Linked DNA regions of Cricetulus griseus. Each later gene encodes a partner of the first gene's protein in a complex. Links are inferred from orthologs where the notes say so. Each region holds a gene or a part of one and is shown in the gene's direction. Other genes may lie near its edges.

Evidence for each region.
Region 2: Hnrnph2 (region 1) and Pa2g4 share a complex: the UniProt entries of both Homo sapiens proteins name them as parts of the ribonucleoprotein complex. The link is inferred for Cricetulus griseus from reciprocal best matches to the Homo sapiens genes HNRNPH2 and PA2G4.
Region 3: Hnrnph2 (region 1) and Ddx5 share a complex: the UniProt entries of both Homo sapiens proteins name them as parts of the ribonucleoprotein complex. The link is inferred for Cricetulus griseus from reciprocal best matches to the Homo sapiens genes HNRNPH2 and DDX5.
Region 4: Hnrnph2 (region 1) and Srsf1 share a complex: the UniProt entries of both Homo sapiens proteins name them as parts of the ribonucleoprotein complex. The link is inferred for Cricetulus griseus from reciprocal best matches to the Homo sapiens genes HNRNPH2 and SRSF1.

The regions. Positions count from the first base shown.
Region 1 is NC_048604.1:45,490,562-45,494,462, reverse strand, and holds the end of Hnrnph2 (heterogeneous nuclear ribonucleoprotein H2), read left to right. Parts: intron 1-71; 5' UTR 72-163; intron 164-224; exon of another isoform or gene 225-325; intron 326-1,190; 5' UTR 1,191-1,243; coding exon 1,244-2,593; 3' UTR 2,594-3,384; downstream 3,385-3,901. UniProt on the Homo sapiens protein: This protein is a component of the heterogeneous nuclear ribonucleoprotein (hnRNP) complexes which provide the substrate for the processing events that pre-mRNAs undergo before becoming functional, translatable mRNAs in the cytoplasm. Binds poly(RG).
Region 2 is NW_023276806.1:129,347,018-129,349,678, forward strand, and holds the end of Pa2g4 (proliferation-associated protein 2G4), read left to right. Parts: coding exon 1-45; intron 46-126; coding exon 127-260; intron 261-822; coding exon 823-917; intron 918-1,001; coding exon 1,002-1,129; intron 1,130-1,262; coding exon 1,263-1,316; intron 1,317-1,447; coding exon 1,448-1,513; 3' UTR 1,514-2,125; downstream 2,126-2,661. UniProt on the Homo sapiens protein: May play a role in a ERBB3-regulated signal transduction pathway. Seems be involved in growth regulation. Acts a corepressor of the androgen receptor (AR) and is regulated by the ERBB3 ligand neuregulin-1/heregulin (HRG).
Region 3 is NC_048600.1:119,726,944-119,729,555, reverse strand, and holds the end of Ddx5 (probable ATP-dependent RNA helicase DDX5), read left to right. Parts: exon of another isoform or gene 1-944; coding exon 945-1,169; intron 1,170-1,361; coding exon 1,362-1,768; 3' UTR 1,769-2,072; downstream 2,073-2,612. UniProt on the Homo sapiens protein: Involved in the alternative regulation of pre-mRNA splicing; its RNA helicase activity is necessary for increasing tau exon 10 inclusion and occurs in a RBM4-dependent manner. Binds to the tau pre-mRNA in the stem-loop region downstream of exon 10.
Region 4 is NC_048600.1:101,233,262-101,237,514, forward strand, and holds the start of Srsf1 (serine/arginine-rich splicing factor 1), read left to right. Parts: upstream 1-1,444; 5' UTR 1,445-1,913; coding exon 1,914-2,107; intron 2,108-2,559; coding exon 2,560-2,744; intron 2,745-3,153; coding exon 3,154-3,326; intron 3,327-3,526; coding exon 3,527-3,721; 3' UTR 3,722-4,253. UniProt on the Homo sapiens protein: Plays a role in preventing exon skipping, ensuring the accuracy of splicing and regulating alternative splicing.

The DNA.
Region 1 (3,901 bases):
ATTTTAGTGAATCTCTTGTCATATCTCTAAGAGGTCATTCTTTAATTTGCTCTTTTGCTCTTTTCATCCAGTCCCCCTTCCTTCTGTTTGAATGCTCCAGTTGCCTGGGTGATAAGTCTGAAAGGGCTGTAATGACATCACTCCTGTTTAAGATCCGTAAAAGGTGCTATATATATAGATATGTATGTATATATATATATATATATTCCCCTCTCCACACCCAGCATCAGAACGGTAAAGTCCCAATGTCTTAAGGTTTGGGGGAGGCACATGTCACACAGTGTTGTGAATACTGAATCATCATGCTTGTGAACCAGAGAAGAGTCTAGCCTCCTATTAAATCAGACCCTCAGGATCTCATCTCTTTTTGACAGCCCTGTCCTTTGCTTTTTGTCCCCTTCCATTTCGTGCTCCATTAAACATTTTTATAAACTGTTTCTGGATCCCTGAACAGGATCAGAATAGTTTGTGTCAATTAACCATTCTGCCTCCAATTGATAACACTTCATCAATCAGTCCTTCCTTTATTTTATCTGTTTGCACTTTCCTTTGGTAAAGGCATACAGTTCTCCTGTAGGACTGTAAGCCCTTTCTGGACTCATTGATTCTTACATGTCAGAATGAGTACTAGACCTGACATCTAAAGCATGCTTGCATATGTAAAGTCCCATTAATGTTTTCAATGTTTTTTTTCCCATTTATCTCTTAGGCATTAATAGTTCTGTATTTTACTGATTTGCATGCATTGTTTATATTCTTGGGATATTAATGGACTTGTATCTTATGAATTTTGTCTTTTGATTTAAAGAAATTTTTGATTTTTATATAATGAGATATAGTTATATTTTATTTATTTTTAATTTTAATTTTCTCTATGATGTTAATGCATTGGGCCAGTGCAGAAAATTTAAAATATTCAAAAAATGTCTTAATATTTTCCATGTATATGTTCATGGAAACAAGTCCTATTGTACTGCTACCCAGAAATAATCATTATTAATTATACCTGATACATAATAGAAATGGAATGAGTAATTGTTAAGTGAGTGAATTAAGTTTTATGCAGTCTTTTTGTTAATGTGGCTATCTTTTTAAAAAGTAACTGATGTGAACTTCTATAATAATAGTTTTCTTTGTTTCTCTTATTGTGTATAATTTTTCATGACAATAGTTTTCTAATTTTTTTAAAGCCACATTGAAATTGCGTTGAGCCAAGCTTGCCACCAAGAGCCCAACAGTCACCATGATGCTGAGCACAGAGGGCAGGGAGGGGTTCGTGGTGAAGGTCAGGGGCCTACCCTGGTCCTGCTCAGCTGAGGAAGTGATGCGCTTCTTCTCTGATTGCAAAATCCAAAATGGTACATCAGGTGTTCGTTTCATCTACACCAGAGAAGGCAGACCAAGTGGTGAAGCATTTGTCGAACTTGAATCTGAAGATGAAGTAAAATTGGCTTTAAAGAAAGACAGAGAAACCATGGGACACAGATATGTTGAAGTATTCAAGTCCAACAGTGTTGAAATGGATTGGGTGTTAAAGCATACAGGTCCAAATAGTCCTGATACTGCCAATGATGGTTTTGTACGGCTTAGAGGACTCCCATTTGGCTGTAGCAAGGAAGAAATTGTTCAGTTCTTTTCAGGGTTGGAAATTGTGCCAAATGGGATGACACTGCCAGTGGACTTTCAGGGGAGAAGCACAGGGGAGGCTTTCGTGCAGTTTGCTTCACAGGAGATAGCTGAAAAGGCCTTAAAGAAACACAAGGAAAGAATAGGGCACAGGTACATTGAAATCTTCAAGAGTAGCAGAGCTGAAGTCCGAACTCACTATGATCCCCCTCGAAAGCTTATGACTATGCAGCGCCCGGGTCCTTATGATAGGCCAGGGGCTGGAAGAGGGTATAATAGCATTGGTAGAGGAGCTGGATTTGAAAGAATGAGGCGGGGTGCCTATGGTGGAGGCTATGGAGGCTATGATGACTATGGAGGCTATAATGACGGGTATGGCTTTGGGTCTGATAGATTTGGGAGAGACCTAAACTACTGTTTCTCAGGAATGTCTGATCATAGATATGGAGATGGTGGGTCCAGTTTCCAGAGCACCACAGGGCACTGTGTACACATGAGGGGGTTACCATACAGAGCCACTGAGAATGATATTTACAATTTTTTCTCACCTCTTAATCCCATGAGAGTACACATTGAAATAGGACCCGATGGCAGAGTTACAGGTGAGGCAGATGTCGAGTTTGCTACTCATGAAGATGCTGTGGCAGCTATGGCAAAAGATAAAGCTAATATGCAGCATAGATATGTGGAGCTCTTCTTGAATTCTACTGCAGGGACAAGTGGAGGAGCTTACGATCATAGCTACGTAGAACTGTTTTTGAATTCTACAGCAGGGGCAAGCGGTGGTGCTTATGGCAGCCAGATGATGGGAGGGATGGGTTTATCTAACCAGTCTAGTTATGGAGGTCCTGCCAGCCAGCAGCTGAGTGGTGGTTATGGTGGTGGTTATGGTGGTCAGAGCAGTATGAGTGGATATGACCAAGTTCTTCAGGAAAACTCAAGTGACTATCAGTCAAACCTTGCTTAGGGAAAGAAGGAACACCAAACAGCTCCAGGAATAAAAGCTGTGCATTTATAGGAACTGGATAGAGTAGGAAGGATACCAAGCATATCCAGTATGATTGGTAAATGGGAAATAAAGTTGCTTCTGATCACTATCGGTCAGCTTTCTTTCTTTTTTTTTTCTCCTTTTTTTAAGAACAAAATTTAAGTTTAACAGTTTTGCATTACAAGCTTGTGATTCATGCTTACTGTAAAGTAAAAGTTAAGATTGTTTTCAAACTTTAAGCTCAGCAGTTTTGAACACTGAAATATTCATCTAGGATGTAATAACAAGTTCAGTATTGACCATAACTGTTAAATCCACTTTCAGCTTTCCTCAAGTTAGTTATGTTGTAGGAGTGTACTTAAGCAGTAAGCATATTTAGGTTTAAAGCAGTTTCACTTACGTTAAATGTTGCTCTTATACCACAATACATCAAAGCCTTCAGATGCATGTTGAGAAACATGCTTTTCTGTAAAAATCAAATATAGGAGCTGTGTCTATGATTCAAAGTGACAACATTTGGCATGTTTGTTAATTCTAGCTTTTTGGTTTAATATCCTGTAAGGCACGTGAGTGTACACTTTCACTTTTTTTTTTTTTAAAAAGATCTGGGATAATTTTGAGATGTAGTACCAATACTTTAGGAGTTTGGTCATGTTGTTTGTATGGAATTCTGAGGCTTTGATTTAAATCTTACCTTGTATTGTGAATTCCATTTAGATGTATTGTACTAAGTGAAACTTGTTAAATAAATCTTCCTTTTAAAAACTGGACAAATCTTGTATAGTTTGATTTTTCTTAAATCATGTTCTGTTACATGGGCACATGGTAACTAACTTTTTAAAAGTTCTCTGCAGTGGGAATGCAAATTTTCAGTTTCCTTTTTTTTGAGACAAGGTCTCTAATATTCCAGGCTGTGAATGACCTTTAAATTCTGCTCCTCCTGCCTCTACCTCCTAAGTATTGGAATTTCAGTCATGTGGCACTGTTTCCAGTTTATGCCTTGGTGGGGAGCAAACCCACACCTTCTTGCATGCAAGACAGCCACTATACCAACAGGGCGACATCCAAAGCCTAAATTTGGATTTATTTATTTATTTATTTGTTTTGTGTGTGTGTGTGTGTGTGTGTGTGTGTGTGTGTGTTCAAATGAATGTGTACACACATGTAAATGAGTGTTGGTAGAAGCCAGAGAAAAACATTGGGTACCCTGTTCTATTGCTCTCTGCCATATTGTCCTGATAACAGGTCTCTCACTGAGCCTGCAGCTAGGCTGGCAGTCAGTAAGTT
Region 2 (2,661 bases), on another chromosome or scaffold:
GAAGTTTATGCTGTGGATGTCCTAGTCAGCTCAGGAGAAGGCAAGGTAAGAATTCCATAGTTAGCAAAAGGGATAACTTGAAGGTGTGTTCAACAGACCATATTTGACCTAACTTAACTCTCTTAGGCCAAAGATGCAGGACAGAGAACCACCATTTACAAACGAGACCCCTCTAAACAATACGGCCTGAAAATGAAAACTTCACGTGCCTTTTTCAGTGAGGTGGAAAGGCGTTTTGATGCCATGCCATTTACTTTAAGGTACTGCATATAGCAAGAACAGGACTGGGAACCAGTCTGACTCAGTGTGTACACCCAGAAGCATCCTCCCTTCCCTTGGCCCTCCCTCCCTCCCCCTCTCTCTCCTGCCCAGACTTGTAGCTCTTGCCTGAATGCATGTCCTCTGTCCTGCCCATCTCCTTACTGGATATAATATACAAGAGCAACCCCAGACAGTTTCTGCATGAGGATAGAGGTGATTTAAGAGCATGCTTGACTAAGTGTGGTGGCAAATGCTTGTGATGCAACACTCCAGAGGCTGAGGCAGAAGAGTTTTAAGTTAGCCTGAGCTGCACTAAGCAAGAAATTGAAAACAACAGGACCAGTTGCTTGTGCAGTCGCAGGTCAAGAGCTGTGCAAGACCCAAGTTCAGCCCGTGAAACCTATGCAGTAGTAGAAGGGTAAACCAACTTCAAAAGTTGTCCTCTGGCCTGCACACCCATGCCCTGCCCTCCAGCCCCTATCATACCTGCAGTCACACTAATAAAAATAAGTCTTAACAATATGGGGTCATTAAGGAGACCTGAATGTTGTCTCTTCCCAGAGCATTTGAAGATGAGAAGAAGGCTCGAATGGGTGTAGTAGAGTGTGCCAAACATGAGTTACTACAGCCATTTAATGTTCTCTATGAGAAGGAGGGTGAGTCCTAAGAAGGGTTTCATTTTAGAGTCCCCTCCCTTTAACTTCAGAAAAAAAGTGTGACTGGGACTTGTTTTCCCGTAGGTGAATTTGTTGCCCAGTTTAAATTTACAGTCCTACTCATGCCCAATGGCCCCATGCGGATAACCAGTGGTCCCTTTGAGCCTGACCTCTACAAGTCTGACATGGAAGTCCAGGATGCAGAGCTAAAGGTTAGTGTTGGGTAGGAAATGGTGAACATGGGGCACCTAGGTACCTGTGAAAGTCCCGAAAGGAATTGCAAAGCAGGAGAAATGCTTTATCTATCCCACGTTTCTCAGGGTTTGCCTTCTTCCTGTCTTCTAGGCTCTTCTCCAGAGTTCTGCAAGTCGAAAAACCCAGAAAAAGAAGAAAAAGAAGGTGTGTGATGATCTGGTGGGAATCTTTCTGATAGTGGTGGGGAATGAGCCCACCCTTCTCTGCTTCAGGATAGATACTTTGGGAGTTAGTGCCAAAGAAGTTGGGAATTGATGTCTTGTTTTGGAATGTAGGCCTCCAAGACTGCAGAGAATGCCACCAGTGGAGAAACATTAGAAGAGAATGAAGCTGGGGACTGAGGTGGGTCCCGTATCCCCAGCTTGCCATTCCTGCCTCATCCCCTTCCCACCGCACCCCAGGCTCTGTGAAGTGCAGTTCGTCTTCTCCACCCAAGACCACCAGCAGAGTGAGCGGGGTCTTCTGCCCCACCCAGTTCCCACACACATTCGCCCACCCACTCTTTCCAACAAAAAACCAGCTCCAACTGACTCTGGTCTTGGGAGGCCAGGCTTCCCGGCCAGCCACTGAAGACTACTTTCAGTAGAAAAAGAAATTGAATAATAAAATCAGGAGTCAAAACCCATCGTCTTCAAGCCCCCTCTTTCTGGCCTTTTCTACTCTGCTTGGTCAAGGTTTGTGGCTCTACAACAGAACAAAGGAGGCTAAGTTAGCCACCACCACTAAAACCTCAGCTGAAACTTTTTATGTCACTGATGTCATTTTTCTCATTCTTTTGGGGGCTTTTCTGTTTCCCACTGTCACTGGGTATTTAATCTGCCTTCAAGGAGGAGGACCGGTTGTATTTTTTACTCACCTGTGGCAGATCCTTCATGATAAAGGGTACCTGGTTAGACCCTTCCCATTTTAGATACTGAAGTCTCCATTAAAAGATTCTTATCTCTCATTAGTCATTTTTGTTCTTCAGTTTTCAGTTGTAAAGCAGTCGTCATCCCCACCATGTTGTTGGTTTTGTTCCTTCCGTCTCCCCTCTCCCGAAAACCAGTGGGTTTTCCTCAGGGTCCACCTTAGAACCTACATTGAAAATCCCACTGTGAGTTTTTTGTTCCAGATTTGATTTTTTTTTTCTTCTTCCTATTTTTTTGGTTTGAGACAGAGTCTCACTATGTAGCTCTGGCTATCCTGGAACTATGTAGCCCAGGCTGGCCTCAAACTTGGAGATCCACTTGCCTCTGCTTCATGAGCACTGGAACCAAAGGCGTGCGCCACCACGCCCGCTTCCTGTTTGAAATATTTTGAGTTCCCTCCCAAGAAAGAAAAACCAGGAACCAGAGGAGTAGACTGAAGAGAACTGACTTTCAGATTGTGGACTTGGATGGCTCCTGGGGATTTGTAGAGAAAAGGTTACAATTTGTACCTCTGGCATGCTGTCCCAGGGAACCAAGGCTCCCACTAACTTAAGCGGTTTTTGAATTGACATGGCATTAAA
Region 3 (2,612 bases), on another chromosome or scaffold:
GTTCACTGCCGTGGTATTTCATCTGTCCCATGCTTTGCATGATTGCCATGGTACAGCATTGTTTCAAACTGTTCACTGTGATCTGTGGGTCTTTGAGTTTCAGTGAGTTTGCTGAAATGTCGAAGAAATATTTCCAAACTTCAATGTTCAATGAAATTTTTGTTCAAGTTTGAAATGGAGAGAGCAGCTTTAAAAGGTACTAAGCCTTTTACAAATTGGTGAGTACTGGCACATGAGACCTAGAGCAGCAGGGTCAACTTCTCACACATAGTCAGTGGGAAAAGAAAGTGCCTTGAAAAAGTTCCTCCCTCACCTACACAGTAGTCGTCATGTCGAGACCTGCCAGAGAGAGACACATTCTCAAGTGAATCCTGGCTTCTTGGAAGCGCTTGCCTAGACGAGACACAGTGCATTAAAACAACTTTTGGGGGACAGGTATGTTTTTCTTGCAGCTGCAGTTGTAAGGTCTTGGCAAGACAAGCAGTGTGGCCAGAATTTTGAACTTCTGATGAGTGTGATGCAAAGGACCTTGTACATTTTTCTTAAAGGTCCTCAAAAATGAGCACATGAAGAGGTTGCTGTGAAACTTTTAAGTGGCCCTACTGCGCAGAAGCACTCAGATGTCACTTGATGATCTGTAAGGGGACTTTGCCAATTTGGGAATGTGCTAAGGAGAATACACATTCCCTTGATAGGCTGTCAATGGGCGGGTGATAACTTAATACAGCTGACATGTGCTTTTTTTTTCTTTTTTCTGCCCCCACCCTCTTTTTTTTCCTACCTCAATGGTATTCCTACAGGAAATGGATAACCATTTTAACTGTATTTTTTGCAGCCCGTACCTTCTTGGGAATACAATTGTCTAACTTTTTATTTTTGGTCTGGCTGTTGTGGTGTGCAAAACTCCGTACATTGCTATTTTGCCACACTGCAACACCTTACAGATGTGGAAGATGTGAAATTTGTCATCAATTATGACTACCCTAACTCCTCAGAGGATTATATTCATCGAATTGGAAGAACTGCTCGCAGTACCAAAACGGGCACAGCATACACTTTCTTTACACCTAATAACATAAAGCAAGTGAGCGACCTTATCTCTGTGCTTCGGGAGGCTAATCAAGCAATTAATCCCAAATTGCTTCAGTTGGTCGAAGACAGAGGTTCAGGTAAGAGATCTTACAGGTAGTTGGGGTCACCTCATTGTCTACAAAGTCTTTTTTAAGTGGGATTGGTGGGGTAAGTAGTTTATGTTGAAACCTAAGATCTGAAAGAACACTTCGGCTGCCATGAGTAGAGCTACCTAACTCTAGCACATTTATGCCATAGATTTGATACATTCTCGCTTGCTTTCTTGACAGGTCGTTCCAGGGGTAGAGGAGGCATGAAGGATGATCGTCGTGACAGATACTCTGCGGGCAAAAGGGGTGGATTTAATACCTTTAGAGACAGGGAAAATTATGACAGAGGTTACTCTAGTCTGCTTAAGAGAGATTTTGGGGCTAAAACTCAGAATGGTGTTTACAGTGCTGCAAATTACACCAATGGGAGCTTTGGAAGTAATTTTGTATCTGCTGGTATTCAGACCAGTTTTAGGACTGGTAATCCAACAGGGACTTACCAGAACGGTTATGATAGCACTCAGCAATATGGAAGTAATGTTGCAAATATGCACAATGGTATGAACCAACAGGCATATGCATATCCTGCTACCGCAGCTGCTGCGCCTATGATTGGCTATCCAATGCCAACAGGGTATTCTCAATAAGACTTTAGAAGTATATGTAAATGTCTGTTTTTCATAATTGCTCTTTATATTGTGTGTTATCAGACAAGATAGTTATTTAAGAAACATGGGAAATGCAGAAATGACTGCAGTGCAGCAGTGATTATGGTGCACTTTTTTCGCTATTTAAGTTGGATATTTCTCTACATTCCTGAAACAATTTTTAGGTTTTTTTTGTACTAGAAAATGCAGGCAGTGTTTTCACAAAAGTAACTGTACAGTGATTTCAAATACAATAAATGAAGGCAATGCATGGCCTTCCAATAAAAGATATTTGAAGACTGAATTAAGTGGAAATTGTACTTTATTTTACATATATGATGTCATGTAAAACTTGGCTTAGATAGTATGTTTCGGGGGGATTTTCTTTCATTTTGGTGTTTTCTTTTTACACAAAAACTAAAGTTGACTACTTGCCATTCTTTGATTTAGGATTTAGGAGGTGAGAGAATCAAGAAGGCCCTTAAGATGATCTATCTCTAAGAATTGAGGGGCAGTGGGTTTTTTTTATAAATTTGTTAGTAGCTTTCAGCATCAGGGATAACATGGTGACTGTTCTATTTTGCAAAAAGTGCTGGCATACTTTATTCTGGACCAAAATGCACAAAGTTGAAAGACTGTTAGCCCAAGAACTGTGCGCTGTGTCCTTGGTGCAGCTTACACACAAAGTAATCTAGTCATCACCCATTCACCAGGGTTCCTAGAGCCACACTGGCAGTCAGGAATGTCTCCACATTGTTTCAGGGCATTTTAAAGGTCTTCAGATTGTAGGCTAGTCAGTACTCCCAACACAAGGAAGAAAACCTCAAAATTAACCAATAGTCAT
Region 4 (4,253 bases), on another chromosome or scaffold:
CCCAGCACTCAGAAGGCCGAGGCAGGCAGATCTTTGTGAGTTCATGGCCAGCCTGGTCTACAGATCAAGTTCCAGGACAGCCAGAGCTACACAGAAAAACCCTGTCTTGAAAAACAAAACAAAAAGAAAGGAAATTAAAAACTAAAAGTAATAGTGCAGAAAACACCCTTAAAATCGGTGGGGGTCTGATTTAGCTCATTTATTTTGAGTCAGGGTCTCTGTAGCTCTGGCTGGCCTTGAACTAAAAGGTTCTGTTTACCACAATGATGGGATTTAAAGGCGTGCCACCACCTCTGGCTATTGTTTGTTTGTTTGAGGTAGGGTTTCTGGCTTTGAAGGCTGTCCTGGAACTAGCTCGTGTAGACCAGGCTGGTCTCGAACTCAGAGATCCGCCTGCCCCTGCCTCCCAAGTGCTGGGATTAAAGGCATGCGCTTGCCTCTTCTGGCTATTTTATGTTTACTTTGAATATGAAAGGCTCTGGTTTTAGCCTGAAGAGGGCGGTCGATGTCTTTAATCCCCCAGCACCCAGGAGGCAGAGGCAGGTGGATCTGAAATCCAGGCCAGCCTGGTCTAAGGAGTGAGATCCAAGACAGTCAGGGAAAGATAGAGAAATCCTGTGTGAAAAATACAAAAATAATAACTACAAAAGGCTTTGGCTTTATTTTTCCCAATTTTTTAATTTAAAGGGTTTCCCGGGGCCGGAGAGATGGCTCAGTGACTTAGGTTCAATTCCAAGCACTCATAACTGTCTGTAATTTCAGTTCCAGGGAACCCAGTACCCATGTCAAAATATCAATGCACAAAAAATAAATTTAAAAAAAAATCTAAAGGGTTTCCCTACATGGCCCCGGCTGATCTAGAACTGTGTATCACAGACTAGCATAGAATCCTCCTGCCTCAGTTTCCGGACTGACGAAATTGAGGCCACAAGTCACCAAGTTCAGCTTGGTTTTGCTTTTATTCCAGTTCGAATTCATTAACAAGACTGAAAACCTGCATGATTTCACACATAAGGCCCTAAATTCCATTCCCGTGATTACAAAGGAGTTAAAAGTCGTAGTATCCAATATAAATATCCTGATTTCAAACAATGTGAGATGCAACCGTTGTCTCTAGTAGTTACAGTCCTCGCATCTATTTTATTATTTTTTTTCTTTCCCCATCCTTTGAAAGGAGGAAGAGAAAAAACTGAAGGCGCGGTTGGTTCGCAGAGGTGTGGAGGGTTCCTAACTGCCTACAAAACGCAGCCCACCAAAAAAACGCAGGTTCGTAGAAGCACAGGACACAGCTCCGCCCACGCTCTTAAACCAATCACCTGCAACTCCGCCGGCTCCGAAGATGCCCAGGTTTCCGGAGCAACAGCTCAGCGTCATCTGGCTCCGCCCCCCGGCGCCTTTCCCGCCAAAGGCCGTTACCGCCGCGGAGCATGGTGGGACACGGTTGTGGGCTGTTGTCACCAAATCCTTTCAAAGCGCCGAGTGGCTTTTAAAAGAGGGTTCTCTCCTGAGGGGAGACATACTATCCTTGACTCAGCCGGGACCAACAACCCCCTTTCACCAGCGTACACCGTTTTCAACCACACGTCTGGCCGCCTCGCTGAACCAGGCGTTCCACCAGCAGCAGGACGCGAGGGACTTTTTCCCCTCCGTGCGGAGGGTGACGTAGCGCGTGCGCGAGCGTGCCTCTCAGCACCCGTTACGCTCGTGCGCGTGCGTACTGGGGACGGAATAGCCGCTTCCTCTGGCTTCCCTTCCTCCCCCTCCCCCCCATATCAGTGCGCCGGGCTGATAAAGGCGCCATTTTGGACGGGCCGCGGGAGACGTGGTGCCGCTGAGGGCTCGCTCTGCCGTACGCTAGGCTTGGTGGGAAGGCCTCTTCTCGAGTCCGCGCTTTTTTTTTTTCCCTCGCCGCCATGTCAGGAGGTGGTGTGATTCGGGGCCCGGCAGGCAACAACGACTGCCGCATCTACGTGGGTAACCTACCTCCAGACATCCGAACCAAGGACATTGAGGACGTGTTTTACAAATACGGCGCTATCCGCGACATCGACCTGAAGAACCGCCGCGGGGGACCGCCCTTCGCCTTCGTTGAGTTCGAGGACCCGCGGTGAGGCAGCGTGGGGCTTGCGGCCTTGAGGAGATAGGCTGGAGTAGTTGGGGGAAGGCTCTGTCTGAGGCCTGGACATAATGGGGGGGGGAGGGAAGGAGGGGCTCCGAGGCTGGGAGCGAGGCGCTATCGCCCCTGCAGGAGTCGAGTAAAGGAGCCGAGTCGGCGTGTTGTCTCCGGTGGCTGGCCGCCTCGGACGTCCCCAGAGCCCATGCGCGGCCCGGGAGCGGGAAACTGAGGCGCCGAGGGCTGGCGTGGTGGTCGGGAGTCCGCCCGGCGTGTTTGTGGGTGGGGGAGGGGCCGCTCCTATTATGCAGCGCATGTGGGCTCCGGCGCCGTGGGTGCGCATGTGCGCCGTCCGCGGCTTCCCGAGTGGCTTGCGTGAGCCCGGCCGGCCGGCCGGCCGGCCGCTGTCCCTGGCCTCATCCCCTTTGCTTTCTGTGATCACGCAGAGACGCGGAAGATGCGGTGTACGGTCGCGACGGCTACGATTACGACGGCTACCGTCTGCGGGTAGAGTTTCCTCGAAGCGGCCGCGGCACCGGCCGAGGCGGCGGCGGGGGTGGAGGCGGCGGAGCTCCGAGAGGCCGCTATGGCCCGCCATCCAGGCGCTCTGAAAACAGAGTGGTTGTCTCTGGTGAGTTGACTCCGTGTGGGGTTTTAAGAAAATCCTTTTCCCGCGAGACTGGTTTGACAACTCCCAAGTTTTGGTGTTTGGTCTTATTTTTTGTTTTGCTTTGCTTTGCTTTTTTTTTTTTTTTTTTCCTTTTTTTTCCTTTTAAACTGCTTCGGTCTTGGGGGTGAATTTAGTAAACGAAGATTACTGTGGCGGTGATTTACCCAAATTAGGTTGCAGTGCTAGCCTATGAAGATCCTTTACAAATAAGTTTGGACTGTGGATCTCAGACTCTTACCAGCTCTTTACCTGGAAACACTTAAGTACAATCATTCAGTATTTTAAAATAATCCTTGTTCTGATGTACGTTGCACCAGTTTGATGTGGAACTGGGTGATTAGCATTAAGTAGGGGGAAATCACTTTTTCAGGACTGCCTCCGAGTGGAAGCTGGCAGGATTTAAAGGATCACATGCGTGAAGCAGGTGATGTATGTTATGCTGATGTTTACCGAGATGGCACTGGTGTCGTGGAGTTTGTACGGAAAGAAGATATGACGTATGCAGTTCGAAAACTGGATAACACTAAGTTTAGATCTCATGAGGTAGGTTATACATTTATTCTTTTATTTGGCCAGAATTGGATACAGTGTTCTTAACAGTGGAATTTGAAGGTAAGGATACAGGCAAAGGTGTCCAAGTAAATTACCAGAGACCTGGTCTGTCTGTCTTTGTATTCATTCAGCATGTCTGAAGACAGGTGAAAGCTTAGATCTTTCAATGGAAAGTTCTGTCTATCCAATAGGGAGAAACTGCCTACATCCGGGTTAAAGTTGATGGGCCCAGAAGTCCAAGTTATGGAAGATCTCGATCTCGAAGCCGTAGTCGTAGCAGAAGCCGTAGCAGAAGCAACAGCAGGAGTCGCAGTTACTCCCCAAGGAGAAGCAGAGGATCACCACGCTATTCTCCCCGTCATAGCAGATCTCGCTCTCGTACATAAGATGATTGGTGACACTTTTTGTAGAACCCATGTTGTATACAGTTTTCCTTTACTCAGTACAATCTTTTCATTTTTTTTAATTCAAGCTGTTTTGTTCAGAATGGGCTAAAGTGTTGAATTGCATTCTTGTGTAATATCCCCTTGCTCCTAACATCTACATTCCCCTCATGTCTTTGGTAAATTGTATTTTAAGTGATGTCATAGACAGGATTGTTTAAATTTAGTTAATTTCCATGCTCTTCAGACTGTGATATTGTGTAAATGTCTATTCTGCTCTGGTTTGTGTGAAATGGGATGTTGGGGGTGTTTGTGGTTATCTTACTTGGGGAAGTTCTTATGTTTATCTTGCTTTTCATGTGTCTTTCTGTAGACATATCTGAAGAGATGGATTAAGAATGCTTTGGATTAAGGATTGTGGAGCACATTTCAATCATTTTAGGATTGTCAAAAGGAGGATTGAGGAGGATCAGATCAATAATGGAGGCAATGGTATGACTCCAAGTGCTATTGTCACAGATGAAATTGGCAGTAT